5 separate regions of the Mus musculus genome follow, and regions 1, 2, 3 and 5 are each reported to be linked to region 4. Evidence: microRNA targets listed by miRTarBase, many of them from high-throughput screens and not tested one by one. Region 4 holds a microRNA gene; each other region holds the end of a gene's coding sequence.

The links. Region 4 holds the annotated microRNA mmu-miR-1894-5p (CUCUCCCCUACCACCUGCCUCU, at 2,936-2,957, shown strand). A microRNA usually pairs through its seed, bases 2 to 8, with sites in the 3' UTR of a target mRNA and lowers its output. Matches are read on the target gene's strand: a 7mer-m8 pairs with bases 2 to 8, a 7mer-A1 pairs with bases 2 to 7 and ends in A, and an 8mer does both.
Region 1: miRTarBase lists Dzank1 as a target of mmu-miR-1894-5p. Seed matches in the 3' UTR shown: 7mer-A1 at 537-543.
Region 2: miRTarBase lists Mcmdc2 as a target of mmu-miR-1894-5p. Seed matches in the 3' UTR shown: 7mer-m8 at 674-680.
Region 3: the mRNA of Gda is a reported target of mmu-miR-1894-5p. Seed matches in the 3' UTR shown: 8mer at 2,757-2,764 and 7mer-m8 at 3,757-3,763.
Region 5: miRTarBase lists Larp1 as a target of mmu-miR-1894-5p. Seed matches in the 3' UTR shown: 7mer-m8 at 950-956.

Annotation. Positions count from the first base shown.
Region 1 is chr2:144,471,148-144,475,265 of GRCm38, reverse strand. Dzank1 (double zinc ribbon and ankyrin repeat domains 1) reads left to right here. Exons shown (of 21, transcript NM_172859.3): 21 at 177-4,118. The coding sequence ends at 342. Among named protein-coding and RNA genes, the nearest start is that of Gm46768, 53 kb to the right of the region's middle.
Region 2 is chr1:9,940,183-9,944,301 of GRCm38, forward strand. Mcmdc2 (minichromosome maintenance domain containing 2) reads left to right here. Exons shown (of 15, transcript NM_177722.3): 15 at 196-772. The coding sequence ends at 362. Snhg6 (small nucleolar RNA host gene 6) reads right to left here and starts at 3,936. Exons shown (of 4, transcript NR_024067.2): 1 at 3,838-3,936; 2 at 2,428-2,535; 3 at 2,141-2,209; 4 at 1,843-1,973. Snord87 (small nucleolar RNA, C/D box 87) reads right to left here and starts at 2,361; the gene lies at 2,288-2,361.
Region 3 is chr19:21,391,399-21,395,517 of GRCm38, reverse strand. Gda (guanine deaminase) reads left to right here. Exons shown (of 14, transcript NM_010266.2): 14 at 260-4,119. The coding sequence ends at 330. Among named protein-coding and RNA genes, the nearest start is that of Gda, 79 kb to the left of the region's middle.
Region 4 is chr17:35,914,964-35,919,082 of GRCm38, forward strand. It overlaps Mir1894 (microRNA 1894), which reads left to right and starts at 2,926; the gene lies at 2,926-3,006. It overlaps Mrps18b (mitochondrial ribosomal protein S18B), which reads right to left and starts at 1,477. Exons shown (of 7, transcript NM_025878.2): 1 at 1,329-1,477. The coding sequence starts at 1,400. It overlaps Ppp1r10 (protein phosphatase 1, regulatory subunit 10), which reads left to right and starts at 2,233. Exons shown (of 19, transcript NM_001163818.1): 1 at 2,233-2,753.
Region 5 is chr11:58,058,056-58,062,174 of GRCm38, forward strand. Larp1 (La ribonucleoprotein domain family, member 1) reads left to right here. Exons shown (of 19, transcript NM_028451.1): 19 at 504-3,979. The coding sequence ends at 710. Among named protein-coding and RNA genes, the nearest start is that of Gm51897, 32 kb to the left of the region's middle.

The DNA.
Region 1 (4,118 bases), not on the chromosome of region 4:
AGGAAAGACAGAGACACATTTTTACATAGTATACCCCAACAAGTAGAGTCACTCTGAGAGTTGAAGCCATAGTGTCTTTTTAGGGGCTTTTATGGGGTACATTGGCTTCTAGGCAAGGAAGGGTCAAGTTCTGAGGGTCATACGCCTGAGTGATTGTGTCTCCACTTCCTTCGCAGATGCAATGCAAACGCCCAAAAGAAGAACACAAGAGGCCAGACAGCATATGACATCGCTCTGGAGATGGGAGATGACCTCACCTCTTCTCTCTTTGCCGCTAAGTTCACCCAAGGTCTGGAGGACCAACTTTCTCCACCTGGGAACCGCATCCTAGGTGACAGTTAGATCTGAGGGGTCAGGAGGCTGCAGAGACTGCCCAGCTACAGCTGGGCTTAGTTTGGAATGCGTATTTAAGTGTAAGAATTACGGTTGAAAAGAACTCATAAGACTGTGTGTGTGTGTGTGTGTGTGTGTGTGTGTGTGTGTGTGTGTGTGTATGAGAGAGAGAGAGAGAGAGAGAAGGGAGAGTATGTAAGGGAGGGAGAAGAGAGAGAGGAGTGTGTGTGTGTGTGTGTGTGTGTGTGTGTGTGTGTGTTTGTGTGTGAGAGAGAGAGATTGAGCCTTGCAGATGCTAAGGCAAGCATTGTACCACTGGGCTATATCCCCAGCTTTCTTCATTTTGAAATAAGATCTCATAAAGTTGCTCAAGCTGGCCTTGAACTCCCCCTATAGCATAGACAGGCCTTGAACAACGTGGGATCTTCCTGCCGCAGCCTCCGAAGTAGCTGAGATTACAGGTTGTGACAAACAAACACAGCTTTTTTTTTTTTAAGGTGGTATAACTACCCAATACCACCTATACCTTAGAGTATGATAAAATGAAAGTTTTGTGTTTTATTTTCTGTTTTGTTGTTTTGTTTTCCCTTTTTTTTTCTGAGACTATATAGACATGGCTGGCCTAGAAATTTGCTATGTAGACCAGGCTGGCCTTAAACACACAGGCTGTCTCTGCCTCCCAAATGCTGGCATTAAAGGCATGTGCCACCATGTCCAGATTTTTAAAAATATTTTATTGATAATTTTGAAATTTGGTTTTTGATTTTTTGTTCTTCTTTATTGTTGTTTTGAGACAGGGTCTCATGTGTCTTGTCCTTGAACTTGTTATGTGGCTGAGGATGACCTTGAACTTGTGATCCTGCCGCCTCCACCTTCTAAGTGCTGGGATTACAGACTTGTACCACATTGGATTTTATGTGGTACAGGGGATTGAACCCAAGGCTTCATGCATGCTAACCAAATACTCTACCAACTGAACTACATTCCCAGCCTGGTTATTAATTTATCTTTCCATAGATAATAACACTTGTGGTTTAAAGCCAAAAGTATAAAGTACTATATAATAAAGTTCTCATCCAGGTTCTTAAACCACTGTTTCATCCTTAGAACCAGCCATGTCTGTGTAGAGGTGGTACAACATTATATAATCACATATGTATATGTACACAAGGAGGATAACATAAAAGTACATAGCACGTATATATCCTTCCCTATAATATAGCTTAATTAAATAATTTGTAAGAATTCATAGCAGAACGGCTATGTCCTTTCCTTAGCAGAGAGCAGACAGTGTATCTGAAAAGTCTCTTCCCAGGATCCAGAATGGGATGAACCTGTCTTGTGCTCCCTCAAACTGGACTCAGCCCATCTCTGGGCTCTTCCCCCTCTGCCCAGCAGTATTCCCTGCCTGGTGGTGACCCCTCACCCACAGCAGACAGATGACTGGAAACAGTTCTACTTGCATGACAGCGTTACAGACTGGCTCTTTCTTTCCTACAAAGGATCAAAGAAATATGTTCCTAGGAATGGGTTTAATATGGATGTAACTTAGATTCTGCTAAGTCTGCTGAAAGCAAGACCACACTTGCTCAGCATGACATTCTGTTTCTTAGTGGCGGTTCCTCTTCCCCCAACTTGCTGTAATGTTCAGGACATCCATCAGGAAAGAGATCCACTGTCTATAAGAGACCTAGGAGGTCTCTTCCTACAGATATGTGGACATCTGGTTAGTGCTATTAGATGCTTCTGTGTCTGGTGTTTTGTTTTCTGCCATCTAGCAAAATGTCTAACACTCAGGCCCCTCCTTTGGAGAACATTCCACATTGTATGAGAAACTCTGGGCCTCCAGCATCTCTCTCTCTTCCTTTTACTTACAGAATAGTACATGTGAGTCCACTTGAAGAGAGGGGTAACTGCCACCTTGCCTGCCTCTCTGTGTAATGGGTGACACAGTTGGTCACAATCAGTGGCCCAATAGTAGTTATGATCCCACAGTCCTCAGAGCTACTTTTTCCAGAAGTCGCTCTACAAACCCTTGACCAATGTGAACCCCAAATACTCTGCCTGGTTATATGTTCTGTGTATTTCCCTTGAAAACCATGGAACTATTCCCACACAGATACACATACTGGCACACTTATAGAGTTGGCATAGAACAATCTTAGATACAGCATTTGGAAGCACAGACAGAAAGTGTCGAGAGAAGACAGAGAAATCAGACCAGCTAAAGATATTGGAATATTATGGTAATGGCATCACTATGGTTCTTAGTACATACAAAAGAGGGTATGTAGGCCAAAAATGTTAAGTGCAGTTGAGTAGAGAGAGGCTCTGTGACCGTGCTGGAGGAATTGATGGGATGGAGTGGTCATCTGATGGATGGACTTGCATGGCTCAAGGGAGGAGCAGCTGGTTAGCAGAATACTTCTCCAGACTGTTGTCTGTCTAGGACATTAGTGGAATCAGAGGACTATTGAGTTCTTAACTGATTGGTGGTGACAGCCCAACTAAAGGGACATTCTCTAGAGCCTACCTATGCTCTACCTATGCTGTTGATGTTAGGTAAATTCATAATAAAGTCCACTAGCTTATGCTGATGACAGTTTGACCTCATTCCCCTCATAACATACCTGAAGGCCTCGGTAAACTTCACAGGCTGATCCCTTTGTAATCTCCCAGAGTCCTCCATCTTTAGCAAAGTTGAATTTGTAAGGTTGAGACAAAAATCGTATTCTCCAGCAGGTACATTGTCTCCTGTGACTGCTAAAGCAAAGCTCTCCATTGTTTTTAATCTGTTACCATTTTGGCCCGGTCTGGATCTTTCTATCTTCAAGTCTCAATATCTATTGTAGGAACCCAGGAGGAGCTGTAGGGTTTTTTTGGTTGGGGTTTTTGGCCAGATGCAGTCTATAGGTTTGAATTAAGTTCAGGTTACCCAAAGTGTTGAGCCAAAATATTATCTACAAAACTGGGCCATCAAGTCTGAGAGTCTGAAAGCTGCCAAGACAATTCAGCTTCGAACACAGGCCTTCCACGTATTCTAGATTCATTGAATGTACATCTTTTTAAAGTGTAGGCAGCACGTAGGCCAGCTCACGTACCATGTACCATTAGGGCCCTGTGAGAAATGAAGCTGCACCTTCCTGCCTACCAGAGACATCCACGTGGCAGACAGCAAGGAGCTGGTGACCCCTTACCTAGTCTCAAGGTTAAGATGTTGAAACGGGATTTTTGGTTGTGTCTAATACTGTGAAATAACAATGTAAGTGGTCTGTTTCCCTTCGGTAAGCTTCTTCAGTGATGTGACCATGTGGGTTGTTTCTGTGTTACGTTCCTGACAGCCAAAGTCCTGAAGGTGCCTTTTCACGTTAAAGTGGTTTGATCTCTGAGTTGAGTTATGAGAAATAGGCGAGAATAGAGGAGTCCCAAGAGTAAAGCTTTAAGAAATGTGGGCTGCTGAGATGTCTTTTAGTGGTTGAAGGTGTGTCTTTGAAGAGGCTTGTGGGATCTCCTCATTCTCTTTTGCTTCCTGGTGATGAAGTGAATGGTTTTGTTCTGGTATGATGTAGTTAGTGCCTTGCCACAGGCTCAAAGGCATGGAACCAAATGATCACGGACTGGAAACTTCTAAGCTGTGAGCCAACACAAACCTTTCTGTTTGTAAGTTGATTATGTCCAGTATTGTGTTATAGTGATGAAGCGCTGACTAGTACTGTGTTGTGCCTGCATGCTTACACATCCAACCTCCATGCCTGAGGCTGTAAGTCTTATGTTTAAGTATAGCT
Region 2 (4,119 bases), not on the chromosome of region 4:
ATTTTATATTTTAAAATGTTTAAATCAGCTACATGTGATAATCAGTGCTCAGAGGTAGACACAAGCCAGCCAAGACTACTCAAAATAAAACTATGATGAAACTCAATATTCAGTAGTTAACTTTTAAATCCTCATTTTGTTGAAACATACCTCCATTTTTAAAGTCTCATTTACACTATTTTGTTCTTCATTTAGGGGCCACTCCATTTTGTGTTGCTCCCAATGCATTATTTCCATTTGAGCTGTATAATGAAGAATATTTAGAGCAAAGAGATCTCTACCTGACTCAGTGCCAACAGCAGCTCCAACAGTTTATTGCCACATGTGGACCTGGGACAACTGTCTTTTCTAGTGATGAATAAGCAATTTAAGAATTACCTTTCGGGCCTAGCAAACACAGAAGTGGATGTTCACAGTCAGCTATAGGATGGAACACAGGGCCCCCAATGGAGGAGCTAGAGAAAGTACCCAAGGAGCTGAAGGGGTCTGCAACCCTATAGGTGGAACAACAATATGAACTAACCAGTACCCCCAGGAGCTCGTGTCTCTGGCTGCATATGTAGCAGAAGATGGCCTAGTTGGCCATCAGTGGAAAGAGAGGCCCATTGGTCTTGTAAACTTTATATGCCTCAGTACAGGGGAACGCCAGGGCCAAGAAGTGGGAGGGGGGAAGGGGGAGAGGGCATGGGGGACTTTTGGGATAGCTTTGGAAATGTAAATGAAGAAAGTACCTAATAAAAAAAAAGGAAAAATTACCTTTCATGCCCCATAAGCCTTGGTAAATGTATGATTTCAGAGTAATGGTTCAGACTATGTATCATCTCAAGGTTATTTGTTAGAATGTCATTTAGAGTATGAAATGTGGCCCCTTCATAATTACAAATTTGCAACTAACCCAACATCTAAACCAAGAACAGAAATTATGTTACCAAGGAGCTTGACATCAAAAACTCCAGTATATATATCATGGACACACACACAGTAGAGAACATTGTAGTGTGAAAAAGGTTTTGTTCATTCCACCCATCAGGTAGCAACACTTTACCTACCAACATACCCAGCTTGAGCTCATTAATTACCAGTGATGAGTTCAAGTCAGTGCAACTTAATGACCCAAAGTGCCTATGTAAGGCTTTTCTTTATTTAACATGTGCATTATGGGCATATAGCTTTATAAAGCTAAATGTGGAGAGTTAAGGAAAGCTGTGAAAATCTTATATATGCCTTCTGCTGGATACAACCAAAGTGACACTAAAGACAACATTCCTGGGGTCAAGTCGTCTTCCTGCCAGGAGGTGGTAGGTACTACAGGGTCCCACAGCACCTTGTATTTTGGTACTTGATCTGAACAGCAAGTTAATGATATAGTACATACAAACAAGACTTGCCTTGTGCCTTTTCATATGATGTGGTTAAGTCTAGGTCTCTAGGGTAAAAACAAAACAATTCTTATCTAAACAGCCAACACACCTGGAAAGCCTAATGTTCGAAATTTCTATCCTGGGAATCAAATCCAGAGCTTTGTGCCTTGTTAAGCCAGTTAAACTTCCCCAGCCCTTACAAAGGCCCAAGTCATCAGAATGTTGAATTTTTAAGCTACTTACTAAACTTAGGGATTCTATTGGTTAAAGATTTAGCCAAGTCTTCACTCGAGGAAATCCAGTTTGAGAGTTTCAAGTGATCCTAGACAGATTGCCAATCACTTTCTTTCCTGCTGTGCATTACTGGCTACTTACTAGCCAGCCATCAGGATTGCATTGACAAAAAGTCCGCAGCTCATGAAAGACGAGTTTATTTTACTACGAGAATGACATTTTAAAGAAATTACTGCCCACAGCAATTAAGAATAACTGTTTATTTATATATAACTTATTAATATTAAATTAGATATTAATTTTCACCATTTGCTTCTGTTTATGGCTTCTTGACTTTGTTCATGGCCTTCATTTTACCTTCCAATATGTAAGCTGCACCTTCCCAAAAGGAAAAAAAAAAAGTCAGAAACCCCAAATCATTTTTCTTCCATCTCAAACTAGGCCCAGGTGTTCACCCTAATGATCTTCAAAACGAACTGGCCCCAGCCCCTCAGTGTTATCAAACAGTATTGAATCCAGATACATGACTGATTAAGCAAACTTACCCAAAACAATAAAGGGTTTTTAGACATCACAGCTCCCAAAGTTGGACATCCACTACAGCCACCTACATGCTGGGGAGAACAAACAGTAACCCATTTTAACAATGGCGTCACATGTTAGTCATTTGCATCATCTATATACTGCTGGCATCTCAGTCTTTTAAGATTCTCTCTTCAAAGAAACACTCAGCTGGGTAAACGGCAAAAACTTAAGTCATCATTGTGCCAGCTATTAAGGCCCTGTTAATCAAACCTCAAAGAAAAAAAAAAACCACACACACAATTTGTACCTTGTTATTGGCAAATGTAGTCCTGGCAGCTTGTTTCAATCACTCTCCATGACAAGTGTTTAGAAAATATTTGTTCAAGCACCTTCAAATGAGCAGGTTTTGTTGCACCTAAAAATTAAAATATTTGTGAACTCTCATTTTACTTCCATGTTTTAATACCTTGCATGAGTGTGCACTGGCTACTTTTATGTCACCTTGACACAAGCTAATCACTGGTGTAGGAAGCTACAATTGTAAAAATGCATCCTTAAGATAGGGCTGTGGACAAGCACGCCTGTAAGGCATTTTCATAATCAGTGACTGGGGTAAGGGGGCAGCCACCTCCCCTGGGCTGGAGGCCCTGTGTTCTCTAAGAACCAAAGCGTAAGCTAATAGCATCCTCCATGGCTTCGGCATCCGCTAACTCCAGGTTCCTGTGGTGCTTCAGTTCCTGTCCCATCATCCGTCCATCACAGACAGAAAAACATTTTACTCACGCCCTTCACTGCCAGTACTAACTTAAAGGACTGAGTACCAAGCCTTGGCTTCTCAGTCTTGGTGCTTGCACGGAAAAGCTTGAGGCATATATGCAATTGTGCAGACCATCACTGGGACATTAGAACAGGAAACGGCATGGCCAGAGTCACAAATCAGAGAATGAATGATTGAACCGATTACTGGTGATGACTTATCACCTGCAAACCGATGAGAAATCCTTAATCATTTTCATATTTGAAACGCTGAGTTTACAGAAATCCAGAGTACCCAATTTGGCTTACAGATACCAACAGTAAAGTATAACATGCAGGCCTGAAATGTAGTGTTCTTTTGTATCCACACGCTTCAGAACTTACCACCACCTTCTTTTGCCAGCATCCCCACCCTGCGTGGCTTTCAAATAGTTTGAAAATTTTGCTCCAACTTTAGATCGTACTTACAGGGTTGATCCATGAATACAAGCTTTTTAGAGTGATGCCAATACTTCAGATCAAACTATTAATCTTTAAAAAAAAAAAAAGCCAAAAAAAAAAAAAAGCCTAAAATTGGCGGTCTTAACATCTTAGAAGCAGTACTTTTCCGCCTCTGTAAAATTTCCTATGGATTACTCACTTAGGAAGCCTGAAACAGACCGCATGGTGGCTTTTCTTGGGGATACAAAGGGGCTCCCGCCAGGGTGCAGGCCCAGATGAAAGCTGCCGCCAGAAGCGGCCGCTTGTGCCCGCACTTCGAAGCGTCCAGAGGAGCAGGCCTTATAACTAATCTCGGTTAAGATTTGGAGACCATTGGGAACGCGCCCCGCCGCTCACAGCGGGCCAAGGGCCACACCGAACCCGGGAGCCATGGGGCCCCCGTACCCGGCTAGAGACGGACGCCGCCAACAAGGAAGCCCTCTCCGCACACACGGGGTTAAGCAGACCGCAGGATTCGCACCTGGAAACGCCCAAGGACACGCCGGGTTCGGCCGCCCGCGGCCTCCGCTGTGCGCCATGCTGCACCGTCTGCTCGCGCTCTACGGCGCTGCCGAGAAAGGAAGTGGCCCAGCGTGCGCGACCCTAAGGCGCTCCTGTAGGCCCCGCCTCTTCCGGCCAGCCCTCTTCTGCGTGCTCGCCTTCACCCCCTCCTCTTCCGGCTCTGTGTTTCTAGTGGGGCGGAGGGAGCAGGTTGTGGGAATTAGTGCGAATACTTCCGCTAGAGCTTTTTAATTGATTTTTC
Region 3 (4,119 bases), not on the chromosome of region 4:
GAGCTACCTATGATTTTCGCCTCCGATACAGAATGGAGACCCCAATTCTCAACTGGCTAGGATGTCTTGACCAAGTCATCTCCAGGAGACTGTAAATGATCTGGGAGGAATAAAGTTTCTACCTTTGGGGGCTTGTGTTTCTTCTTTTAAAGGTTTTTATTTTTCTTTCTTAAAATCTAAAGGAAACTAAGGCAATCATTGACCCCCCCCCCCAAAAAAAAAAAGCACAGTACAAATGATTCTTTGGTTTTAATTTCAGGAGACGACCGAAATATTGAGGAGGTTTATGTGGGTGGAAAGCAGGTCGTTCCATTCTCCAGCTCAGTGTAAGGACCTTGGACATCTGCGACATTCTCCTGGGAAGACATGATTCCGCCATCTTCCTTGTGCCCAGGGACCAATCAGAAAGTATATTTACAAAAAAGTACCGTGTTCTTTGGATGACTTCTGTTCCTGTGTCTCCTTCCAGTGCCCACTTGGTAAATTGTTTGAAGGGAGTGCGCTGCTTCTCCACTCCAGTCTGGGAGCATTGTAATTTCATGACAGTGCCTCCCATTGGGCTGTTTAGATTTGCATTGTGCTCGCACAGAAGACATTGTTAACAGCTGGCAATGCGCTTCCAATAGTGAAGTAAAACGTTTCCATATAGGGAAATACAGGACGAGGAGATCTCCCTATGTGGCTAGACACTCTGTGCTAATGACTAAGAAAATTAGGAAACTCCAGTATGGACCAATGAGCAGATTTTTATGAGAGGGCACAAGCTAGACATTGAAAAGACATTGGAAAAGTCATTGGTTGTGCTTGGAAATTTAATATAGAGAACAGTCTCGTAAAAGGAGAACCTACTGGATTTAAAACATGCTTCTAGATCGACATTGTCTATGGACATTTGCACTTTGTGAAATTTGCATTTCAGGATGTGTTATTGTTATGCTTTCCCTTCTTGGGATGAATGTCAGAACCTGAATGCCACACGCTTTTCAAATATAGTTCTATGCTTCAAAGTGTTCGGCAGAAGTTGAGTATTAAAGATTTAAAGTCTCTTAGGGATAGTATTCACATAGCCGCAAGGCATAAATAGTTGTGTTTTTTTGTGTGTGTGTGTACTTCAAAGTCATCTTGATTCCTGGCTGTGAGGTGTTCCAGTTGCTTCTGTTTTATTAGATGAGAAACAAGCCCTGTGTGTTGCTGCTCTGTAGACTGGAGTTTTCATAAATCGGGGAAGTACTATATTCCCCGGAGTTGGTGACACTGAGGGGACAGGGTTCTTTGCAATGCTGAATCTACCCAACGCATAATCATTGCTGTACAGTTCACCCTCCTATCAATGTGCTAGAACTTAAAAGCCAAGTGCAAGTCCCTAAAGCATTATGGATAAGGCTCTGCAAGGCCAGTATACTGAAAGAGCTCTGTGTGTGTTTGTTTGTTTGTTCGTTTGTTTTAATTTACCAAATTGTCATTGTAATTCTTGAAGATTTTTCTGGCATTAAAATCTTAGAATAGTGAAAAGGATATAAAAATTCCATCTAATGTTTATATTTCTAGGACTTACCTGTACTAGACATCAAGGAATATTAAACAAAAGAGGGCCTTTTAGCTTTTCTAACGTATATGGTGTCCCTTCTCATATTAGAACTAAAACCAGGTCATAACCACGTGGCAGAGCTTTAGGAAACAGTGATGTGTATTCTACTTAAATACTACATTTTTCTTAATTAATTCCACCTCCTATAAACAAGCAAGGGCCAGGAACAGGTTTTATTAACATATATTTCACTCCTAGGGTTTAGGTGAGTTTCCATTGTATCTTATAACAGAGAAACCCATTAGGCAGTAGTTAGTTCTCACATCTAAGAACACACAGTTCTTCTGTTCTCTATGCTAACTCAGCAGTAACTTGTCCAGATCTATTTTCCTGGTAGAAGCACTTTTAGATCTGGTGTGTATACATTATATCTCAAGATGGTACACATTTAGGTCGTACTTTGTTTTATTTTGAGAGAGAAAGAGAGAGAGAGAGAGAGAGAGAGAGAGAGAGAGAGAGAGAGAGAGAGAGAGAGAGAGAGAGAATTTGTTTTGTGGGATATCGGTGAGTAAATCCAACCCCTGGCTTTAGTCTGCATGTCCAGCATTGCTAGCACATCAGAAATATCAAAATGAGCTGCCAGATTCCCCTCTCCCATTTCTCTCTGAGGCTGGCAACTGTTTAGGCTGTCTGTTTTGACTCTTGCCAAAGGGTTTACAGACCCCACACTTGTCCTCTTGAAGGGTGTGCATTTTGATGTTGAACATCAGCTTTTATTTAAACTTAAGACTCACATGCAGTAATATAGGCAAATGTAATTCTGGAAGCAGGAATAGCAGTGGTAATGTAACACCATCCTGTTGAGATTCAGATTAGTCCTGATAATGTGCTGCCAGTTGAATTACTTCTAATAAAAATAAGGTGTTGAAGTGTTTACATGTACTTTGAGTACTTTGATCTCCCTGCACTTATATGTGTTTTAGTTCCCCAAGTGAAGTGTTCATGAATGTTACCTATGCTTGTTTGAGTGTCCCACACATAGGGCCAGATATCCTGCACTTGGAAATGCTGCGCTCACCTAATAACGTAGGTTGACTTTCCTAATTATGGATAGGCACTGTTCCAAGCCTATCCCAGTTGTCACTTTATGTTTGAATGGTTTGCTCTCTGTAGAAGAAAGGAAAAGAGAAACAGAGAGAGAGGGGATGGGAGGGAGGGAGAGAGGAAGGGGGAGAAGGAAGGAAGGAAGGAAGGAAGGAAGGAAGGAAGGAAGGAAGGAAGGAAGGTTGTCCTGCCTATTCCATACCATTTGAATAATTTCTTTAGAGTTTTTGATGGACTTCATTGTAAAAGGTTAGAAGGCATTAAAAGTTATCATGTGTGTTATATTTATAACATATTCTTGCAGCCAAAACACAAAAGTAGACTAACCAAGTTGAATTTGATTTAAAAAAACAAAAAGGCAGGGAGGGATCAGGGGCATTAAAAATAAGAGGTTAGAACCTAAGAAGTCATCCTTATCTACAGGGCCAAAGGGGCTGGATTCCTCTGTTGTGTTATCTTACCTGGTTCTTTACTTACACTGTCAAAGACTTCACAGTCCCAGAGGGTATGCCAGGAGGGGGCCTTTCTAAATGAATCCTGTGAACACTGCATTTCTTTGCTTCTTTAGTGAAAAACATTTCAAGACAAATGAAAGGAAATGATAAAAAAAAAAAAAAAACCTCTTCATTGCTTTGCTGATTTTGAGGTATGCCCTCAAATATCCCCCAAAGCAAACAGAGGCAACATGAGTGCCAGATCTGGCAATATGTTCTAAATCTTCACTCTCTACCAGATAATTTCTATTTTTAAGCTCTTTCCCTTTGGAAGCAGACACATGAGAAGCCTTCCAGGCACACTGGGATGCACATTGTACCCGTTCCATCAGTGTGCATATGTGGAAGATACCCAGAACTCCGTGCTTCTGCAGCCTAGTGGACATCTTTTAAGGTTGCTGTTGCTGGACTATTCAAATATTTGAAAAGAGTCATCTTAGCTGTTAACAGGTAGAAGGAGACATGTATCCTGGGCAATGACTCAAAATAAATCTTAAATTACAGGGACTCTATGATACATTAAAAAAAATTAAAAGACCAAAAAGAGATGTTTGCCATTTCTAATCTCCTAGCTGCTGCATGTATGATTTTGCACAATACACTTTATAATGTCGTGGGAAGAAGCAGACAGGGGAGAGGTCACTGAGAGAAAACTCTTGATATTCGTTACCACGCATGTTTTAAAGTCTACCCCACCTTCCTGCCCATCTCCAGCACTGAGATGCAGTGTTGTGGGCCTAGTCCATGTTTAGTGAAATGCAATGTCAAGAAAGTCAATGAGGAAATTAAATGTAAATTCTGAGCAGCCATTTACTGGGTTACTTGAGCAACCAATCATTATGAATTTCTGTTATTTGGCAGTGACTTATCTGTCTATTTCTTACCCAAAAAGCCCATCAGAAGGTGTCCCTTACATTATTGCTAACCTTCTGATTGCTGTTCTTAAGGATAGAGACATATATGTGTATGTAGTCAAGGGGACATCCTTCCCCT
Region 4 (4,119 bases):
TAGGGCCCCAAGCTGACCCTGCAGGATAAGCCAACAAGGTAAAAGATGTTAGTGGGATGTGACAATTTAAAAACCTTGGCATACAAATATCTGCGTTTGATGAGCACTGGTTGGTTATGGTGTGAAAAAAATGCCAAACTTTTGGAAATAAGATTGATAATGGCTGTCAAGATGGCTCAGCGGGTAAGAGCAATCCCAGCAACCACAAGGTGGCTCACAACCACCCATGAGCTCTGACAACCCCTTCTGGTGTGTCTGAAGACAACTACGGTGTACTTATGTATAATAATAAATAAATCTCTTAATAAAAAAAAAAAAAAAGAAAAGAAAGCTGGGCGTGGTGGCGCACACCTTTAGTCCCAGCACTCCGCAGAGAGGCAGAGGCAGGAGGATTTCTGAATTCAAGGCCAGCCTGGTCTACAAAGTGAGTTCCAGGACAGTCAGGGCTATACAGAGAAACCCCGTCTCAAAATACCAAAAATAAATAAATAAAAAGAAAACACAAAGATTAATAATGGAGAGCTGGGCATGATTCATACAGATGAGAAAACCCCAAAGTCGCTGCGCTGATCAGTTTCTTAAAATGCTGCAGGTCAACATTCCACAGAGCAAAACAAATTTGCGTCCTAACGCTAGCTTTAAAGCCACCAAGCCTGTTATTACTTCGGTGGTAACCTCTGTCACTACTCTGTAGTCCCATTTTAGGGAGTGGCGTCGAGACAAGCCTTCCTATTCCTCCCTGCCCTGCGGAGAACCTCCAGGGTGGTGAGTACCTGAGGCTAAAGGGCAATCTCAATCCAGAGAGCAGAATGATCTCAAGCATGCTCTGATGGGGAAATGACGTGTGACGAGGTGGAGTAGGACTAGTGTACTTGCTTTTAATTCCATAATCTGGGAGGGAGAGGTAGAAAGCTCAGAAAGTACCTATGAGACCAACCTGGGCTGTCTCCCGAACACCGGGGAAAATCCTTAAAATAGGGTCCTTTGCTAAAAAAAAAACAACAACAACAAAAAAAAACCAAACACGTCCTGGGTGCCACTTCAGGCACCAACGACCTGGTTACAAACTGCCCATTTCCACAGGGGCAACCCCACCATTTAGTTCTTTTGCCTAATGGTAGTCGGGAGACGACGATGATAACCCGTAACCCTGGCTCTGACCCGAACGCTCGGTAGTTAGAAATCGCGCGCCGTAGGGGACGGAGGCTGGTGCAGGGCTGACACGTAGACATGTGGGAAAACCCATGCCCCTTGACTCCTCCTAATGGAAGGAAGATCGAAAGTATAGACACCACGGGGAGGTAGAGAAAACCCCTCCAACGTTTTACCTGAGCTACATAGGAACTTCGTAAGAGTGTAGGAACCAGCTTTAGAAGCGTGTGCCGCAAGGGGGCAGCCATCTTGACGCACACCGGACGTACGGCCTGCCGGAAGAGCGACTGCGCATGCTCGGGACACGCACTAGGGTGGGCCAAGGACACGCCCCGCAATGCGGAAGGCGGCTGCTCACATGTCTAAGGGCGGAAGCGTCAAGGGGCGGGGTCCACAGACGCGAATTTAAACTGCGTCACAATCGAACCAGCCTTCAAAATTGCATTTCTCCCGGACCAGTCACGATGAATCCTAGATTCCATGGTTAGTGTCTAACATGAAAGCAGATTTGATTGCGATTTTAACCAGGGTGCTCCCAGTGCGCATGCGTCGGGCCGTTTCGGCCAACCGAGGGCGACCCCGGGTCGCCGGAGCGGAAGTGGTGGAGGCAGAGGAAAGGGAGGTGCCGGACGCGGCGATCACGCGCTGGCGTAGAGGTGATAGCAAGGAGACGGAAGAGGGGAACCGAGGGAAGGGGGCTTCGGGAAGGTGGAGGAGGGACGTCCAATCCGCGGGCGACCCGGCTCGCACGCTGGCCAATCAGAGTTCGCCTCGCGCACAATGTGTCCCGGCGAGGGCGGTTCTCCATCACGTTAGGGTGCGTTGGGCGGTGGCCGGGTATAAAAGACTCCGCCCGAGCGGGCGGCCGCCATTCTGGGGTTCGTTTAGAGGTAAGTTTGGGTGCTCCGTCGCTTTGGAGGGTAACGTTTTGCCGAGAGCGGGCCGGGGGAACGGGGTGGTTTCGGATTTAATGGGCAGCCACGTTTTTCCCTAATGCGGCTGCGTCCTGCGACAACTTTGAAACGTTTAAAGGCGACCCGTACTGATTACACCTTCCTCCTTTTGTGTTCCTTTTACCCCAGGTTGAATTTTCTCGGAGAAAGACAGGCCGGCCATCAGGAAAACAAACAAGCCTCAGCAACATCTAAACCCTTGAAAGGATCCTGAGAGGGGGGAAAGGGAAATCAGCCACCAGCCCAACCACTCGTGTCTTCTGCCCCTCCCCACCTATCTTGCCCACCCCACCAGCCCACGCTGCTTGGGACTTGAGATCTGTGGCCGAAGGACCGTCACCACATAACTTCAAAAATAATCAACCACCTTCCCTGCCCAAACCTACCCAATCTCACTCATCCAGCATTTCCGTTTTGGAATCCACTCAGACTTTTTTTTTCAACGACCCCCTCTCCCTAAATGGAGTTGGGCGGGGGGGAAATGAAAACTGAGTTGGTCTTTACTTTTTTTAAAAGAGACTTTTTGATCCAATGAGGCCCCACAAGTAACTGAGTTTGGGTCCTGGTTGGTTGCTTTATTTTTTTTCCTCCAAAATTTTACCCCTCCCCCCTGAGCCCGAGGTGCTGACGTCGCAAAAAAATTGGATAGTAAGTGTCGAATTTTCAAAAACCAGCCTTGAACAAGAAATCAACGTTTCCCGTTGTGAAACCAAAAATAATGAGAGGAAGAAATGAGACCATAGAACAAATGTAGAGTACTGGAGAGAAGGACCAATCGGGTCTCTTAAATCTCCATTAAAGGTCCTGTGGGTCTAAACAGTCTTTGTTCTCTCTCCCCTACCACCTGCCTCTTCCCTGCTGTGGAGCAGGCAAGGGAGAGGGTGAAGGGAGGGCCAGCCAGTGAGGATTTTGACGGTTAACCCTTGATAATCCAGCAGATTTCCAGACTGCCAGAGCATAAGCCTTTGCGATAATAAGGAGGAATGGTTACCTTCCTCTGGTTAGCAGTCTTCAAAAGGGTTAATGAGCTCACATACAAAAGATGGTGGATCTTGTGGCCCAGAAGTCCCACTTCTTTGTGTGTGAGACAAGCAGAACGCCTTTCAATTTGCCAGATTAATAAGCAATCTGTACATAAAGATTGCAGGGTAAGGAGATGGGCAGAGAAATATTAGCTGGCTATGTCTTTAAAGTGACTGTTAAATCCTCTCTATTTTAATGTAATTTGCTTGGGATATATTGTGTGGTTAAAATAGGTGGCAATCTAGGAATAAAGATTGCAAGACACTTAAATTTAGGGCAAAAATCATAGTAACAAGTACATACAATAACATTTGGGGAGGTAAAGAATGTCTTGTGATTGTTTCAGCTTGCATAGGTTATTTAAAGGCAAAAGTGATTAACATTTTAACTTGATACTTTTTTAGTGGGTGGTGGATACAGCTAAGAGGGTGGAAAGGTTGGGAAATGTGGAACTCAGGAGTATAATTTTAAAAGCCATTAGTGCATTTGAATGCTATCTTTCTAGAAGATTGTGTCGTTAAAAGATTTTTTTTTTCCTCCCTGCTTCAAATATGGCGACTTTTCCTTGCTTGTCCTTTTGTCTTGCAAGCGGCGTTGCAGGTTGTGTCTTGACCCATTTTTCTCCTGTCCTCCCCCCTCGGTCCTATTTGTTGAGGGGTCCAAGTCCTACCACTTGGCTTTTGTAGGGAGGATTGGGATGGTCGGCGGTAGTAAGTTGAATTTTAGTTGCAAATTCAGATTCTTATCCCGCAGAAAATTGTATATTAATTGATTTTATTTTCAGTAATAGGCTCTTAAACTGATTTAAGATAGGTCAAGTTGAGGGTGGTGGTCAGAGGGATGGCTTCTGTTTGTTTTTTGTTTTTGTTTTTTTAACTTAGTGCCTTACAGTGTTAAGTAAAGCTACCGGCAGATCTGCCCGGCCTTTTAAATTTTGAATCTTCTCCATAACAAAATGGCGTCCCTCTCCTTTGTTTTTCTCCTTTGCCAG
Region 5 (4,119 bases), not on the chromosome of region 4:
TGTCATCAGTTTACATACCTGTAAACTGGGCTTGTTCTTAACTACTCTGGGGAGGAGATGTGTGCTAAGGACCAATGGCTGGAACTTAGTACCTGGAAAATAGTTTGGGTGGCATTTGGTGATAGTAGGGCAAGCTGAATCACAGTCTTCATTGTTGGCTCACGGGCCTGGTGAAGGCTGGAATAAGACAGTTCCCTGTGGAGCCAATACATGCACCATGTAGCATTCCACACACCACAGGTCTTTTCCTAAGAGACCCTTTGTAGAAGGGGACAAAAATTTATAGGGTCAAACTCTGGTCTTTAAGGATATGGACCTAAATATAGGAAGCCTTTGACAAATTATGTGTTTGGTCCGTTTCCTTATTTCTGGTACTGTCCACATGAAAGGACAGGATGTAAATCAAACCATTGTCCTCATTTGGAGATGGAACGGAGACCTGATTGGTTCTGGAAAGTGGTGTGGCTAGTGTTCTCTGACCACTTGTGACTCCTCTGTTACAGCCCCCCATGGGCGAGGAAGGCAACCACAAGCGACACCCAGTGGTAGCAGGAGGCAGCGGAGAGGGCAGGAAGCGGTGCCCTTCCCAGTCTTCCAGCAGGCCTGCCACTGGGATCAGCCAACCCCCTACGACACCTACTGGCCAGGCCACTCGAGAAGATGCCAAATGGACAAGCCAGCACTCGGACACACTGACTTTGCGAAAGTGAATGGCCTGAAGCCCCCTGGGGTTTGTGATAGAGGGGTGGGGTGGTTGAGGATCTGTGGGGTGCCCAGAAGAGCGAACAAGAGAAGGGACAGACCTAGAGTACTAAGAATGGGCCTTTGCGCTAAGTAGCAGTGTATACCATTTGGGCTATTAGCGGTGCTCCTGGGCAGGAGCCTCCAAGTACCCCATCCCTCCTGTCACCATGACTTCCATCATAACTTCTAAGGGGGGAGGGGAAGGGGGGAGATTTTATATATATATATATATATATATACATATATATATATCAAGTTTTAAATTATTGATAGTTTGTCTGGATTACCAAAATCACTCTTTAGCCCTTCCTGCGGCTATTATGCCGACCTGTCTCCCCTGCCTCTTCCCGCTTCCCTCAAGCCAACTATGCAGCCCACCAGAAGGCTCTGGCGGTGCCCATGGGCCCCAGAAGCACCAGCCCCTTGATCACCTGGGGTTTGCCATCACCGTGTCCCTGCTGTTCCACATGCCCTTCTGCCACCTCTGGGGGAAGGAAACCAAAGGATCTCAGTGGGGGTGGGAGCTTCAGCCTCTCCCCTCGCCCCCTCGCCCCACCCCAGAGACGCTGCTCACACCAGAAGAGACTATTGAAAGATGATTCATTTTATTTTTTCTCTGACCTTTCCATCCTTGGGAAAACAGAAAAACAAAACAAAAAAACAAAAAAAAAACAAAAACGAAAATAAAAAAGAAAGAAAGAAGAAAGAAAAAAAAAAGACAAAATCGACCACTTTAAAAAAAAAAAAAAGACAAAAAACCAGAGCCCACCTACTCCATAGAAAGTGATGTCTTTCCCCCTCCTTGGAATTTTTCTTCTGTTCTGTTTTTGGAAATAATATTTTTTTAAAAGTTGCCTTATTGTGGAGCGGGAACCTGAACTAATGCCCAAATGCCTGTTTTCCTTGAGCCTCCGGAAGAGCTCCACCTGCCCGGGATGTCCCTGGACTTGGACTGACTAGAACTTTCCTCGAGACTGAGTTGCATGTACGGGGCCTCCTACCTGGAGGCAAGAGTTGGGGCAGTTCTATCAGAGCTGTGCCCAGGACACCCCTGCTGTTGCATTGTCTGAAGCCAATGTCCTGTGTCTGCACACTGTTGCCACTGTCCTTGTTGTGCTTGCTGTCGCCTCTCCAGGCCCACTCAGCTCTGCTCCGCCCCGCCCCGCCCAGCCAAGCCCTGGGAAACCCCAAGGCCAAGTTTGCTTCAGACTGTTGTAAACATAATTGGTCTTGCCTGGTACACACTTGTCCTCAGTGTGCACATCTCCCCAACTCCAGAACAAGGGGTTGAACACCCACTGATGTCCACAGCTTAGGTCTGTGTCTAACCTTAACGACCTTTGACCTCAAGGAGGTGGAGAAAAGGTACCATTCTCTAAGGGTCTGGTGTTGTCTTTCCATCTTATTACCACCACCCCCTGCAAGCCATCTCTGCCCACCCTCTCATTGGCCCTGCCTGGGATCAAGGGGGTGAGAGGAACCAAGGGCTGGGGAATCCTACCGTTTGGTGAAGCCCCATGGCAGGAAGGTATATGTGGACATAGAGTATACCTGACTTCTCTTCAAAAGCCAGACTGCCTGAGCTGCACTTGAGATGCCAGAGGAGTGGCTGGAGGCTGCTGTCACCAGGAGCTGAGGAGGGTAATGAAGGACTGAGCACACAGGCTGGGAGACTTCATGCTAACCCTACACTTGGACCTAGGTGGCACAAGGGGGTGTGGTCTTTTTGCTAGCTTAACTGAAATTTGTGTGACCCTCCTCATCGCCCAGTTCCTCTATTGTCCCAAAAGTTGGGACTGGGACACAGCATCCCAGGCTGACAAGAGCTTGCCTTCTGTCTTTGGGCACCTTGTTACTTTGAGCTCATGCCTTGCCCCACTCTGTCCTCCCGGTGCTTAGGATGTGGGAATCCCTTGTCAGCTCCTGTGACTCACTTGTCGCAAACAAATAAGGGAACAGGATCATCTGCTGCTGGGATCTGAGGCCTTCTCCTAAGTCTGGTACCTGCCCTATGGTGCACCTTCACCAAACAGTGGGCTCCCTGCTTCCCTTTCTCCTCTCCTCTCCTCACTCAGCCCTCTACTGTATATCCAGCACCACAGAACCTCAGGGCTTGAGGCCCAGCATCAGGGAAGGTGGTTTCCATCTAGGCTATCCAGACTAGGGTTGCCATTCTCTCCCAGATCCTCCCAGACCCTCTGAGGGAAGAAGCCCCTCTGGGGTGGGAAGGCAAGGCTATCATCTCAACACAGGCTGAGGAGGGGTGGGAGTGTGTGTGTGTGTGTGTGTGTGTGTGTGTGTGTGTGTATTTTTTGTGACATGTTAAGAGTTGATGTTGCGGAGTAGTTTACATCTTCACCTTCTGAAGACACTTGAATTTAGGACCGATGTATCTGTGACAAGTATGCCAGGAGTGGGGGTGGGGCACCAGAGCAAGCCACTTCCCCATCACCATCTTCCCATGGAATCCAAGACCTAAGACAGACAGCCTGCCAAATGGAACCGCCTTCATCCTCTGCCTGTGCAGGGTTAGACATCCACCTGGCCCCAGCAAGGGGCAGATGGTGGTTTGCAAACCTGTGAGCCTCAGAGCAGATTTGCTACTCGGAGGGAAGGCTGCCTGGCCCTGCTCCAGCCTGGACCGCAGGTTCAGACAGGTGCTGAGCCCCGGGTCAAGTTGTTCAATGTTTTTGTTCTGTAGCTCCTTCCCACTCCTTTTTGATGACATTTACAAAAGAAGGCAAGCTGCTTGGAAGGTCTGGACATGAGGGAAAGGGCATTGAGGACAAGGCTAATGGTGGGGAGTGCTAGAGGCTTGGGTTCCCCTGTCCCCTGGATGGGACCCCAGAGTCTCTTGTCACAGGGCCCCTAGGTTTTCCCCAGCTCCCACCCTCTCCTCCAGCCATGGTTACGGCAGAGGCAGAAGAAAACTTTGAGCCCAGTTCTCACAGGAAAGGAAAACTCTCATGGGCTTTGCAGAGAAGGTTCCACCTACGCTCATATATTGTCTTTACCATGTGCTAGGATATCACATCAACAGGACAAGAAAAATGTAAAATACTTGAATGAGCTTGTATTATAACATTAATATTATTGAGAGTGTCTGCTTCCCAGGCTGAAGTGATTCATTCATTATTCTGGTCCTGCTCTAGTCCTTTGTAATTGGTGGTAATTATTATGCTTTTCTTTTTAATACAAAAAAAATGTATAAAAATAAAAACTTGAAAAGGCAAAACACTGGCTGGTCTCCCATCTGGGACACTACTGTTGGGTGTGACAGAGAAGCCTGGTGTGTATCCCCAGATGGAGGTTCCCACCCCCTACATGAGCATGACTAGAGTACATTCTCTTAAGAGCCTTTGGCTCCTGGGCATC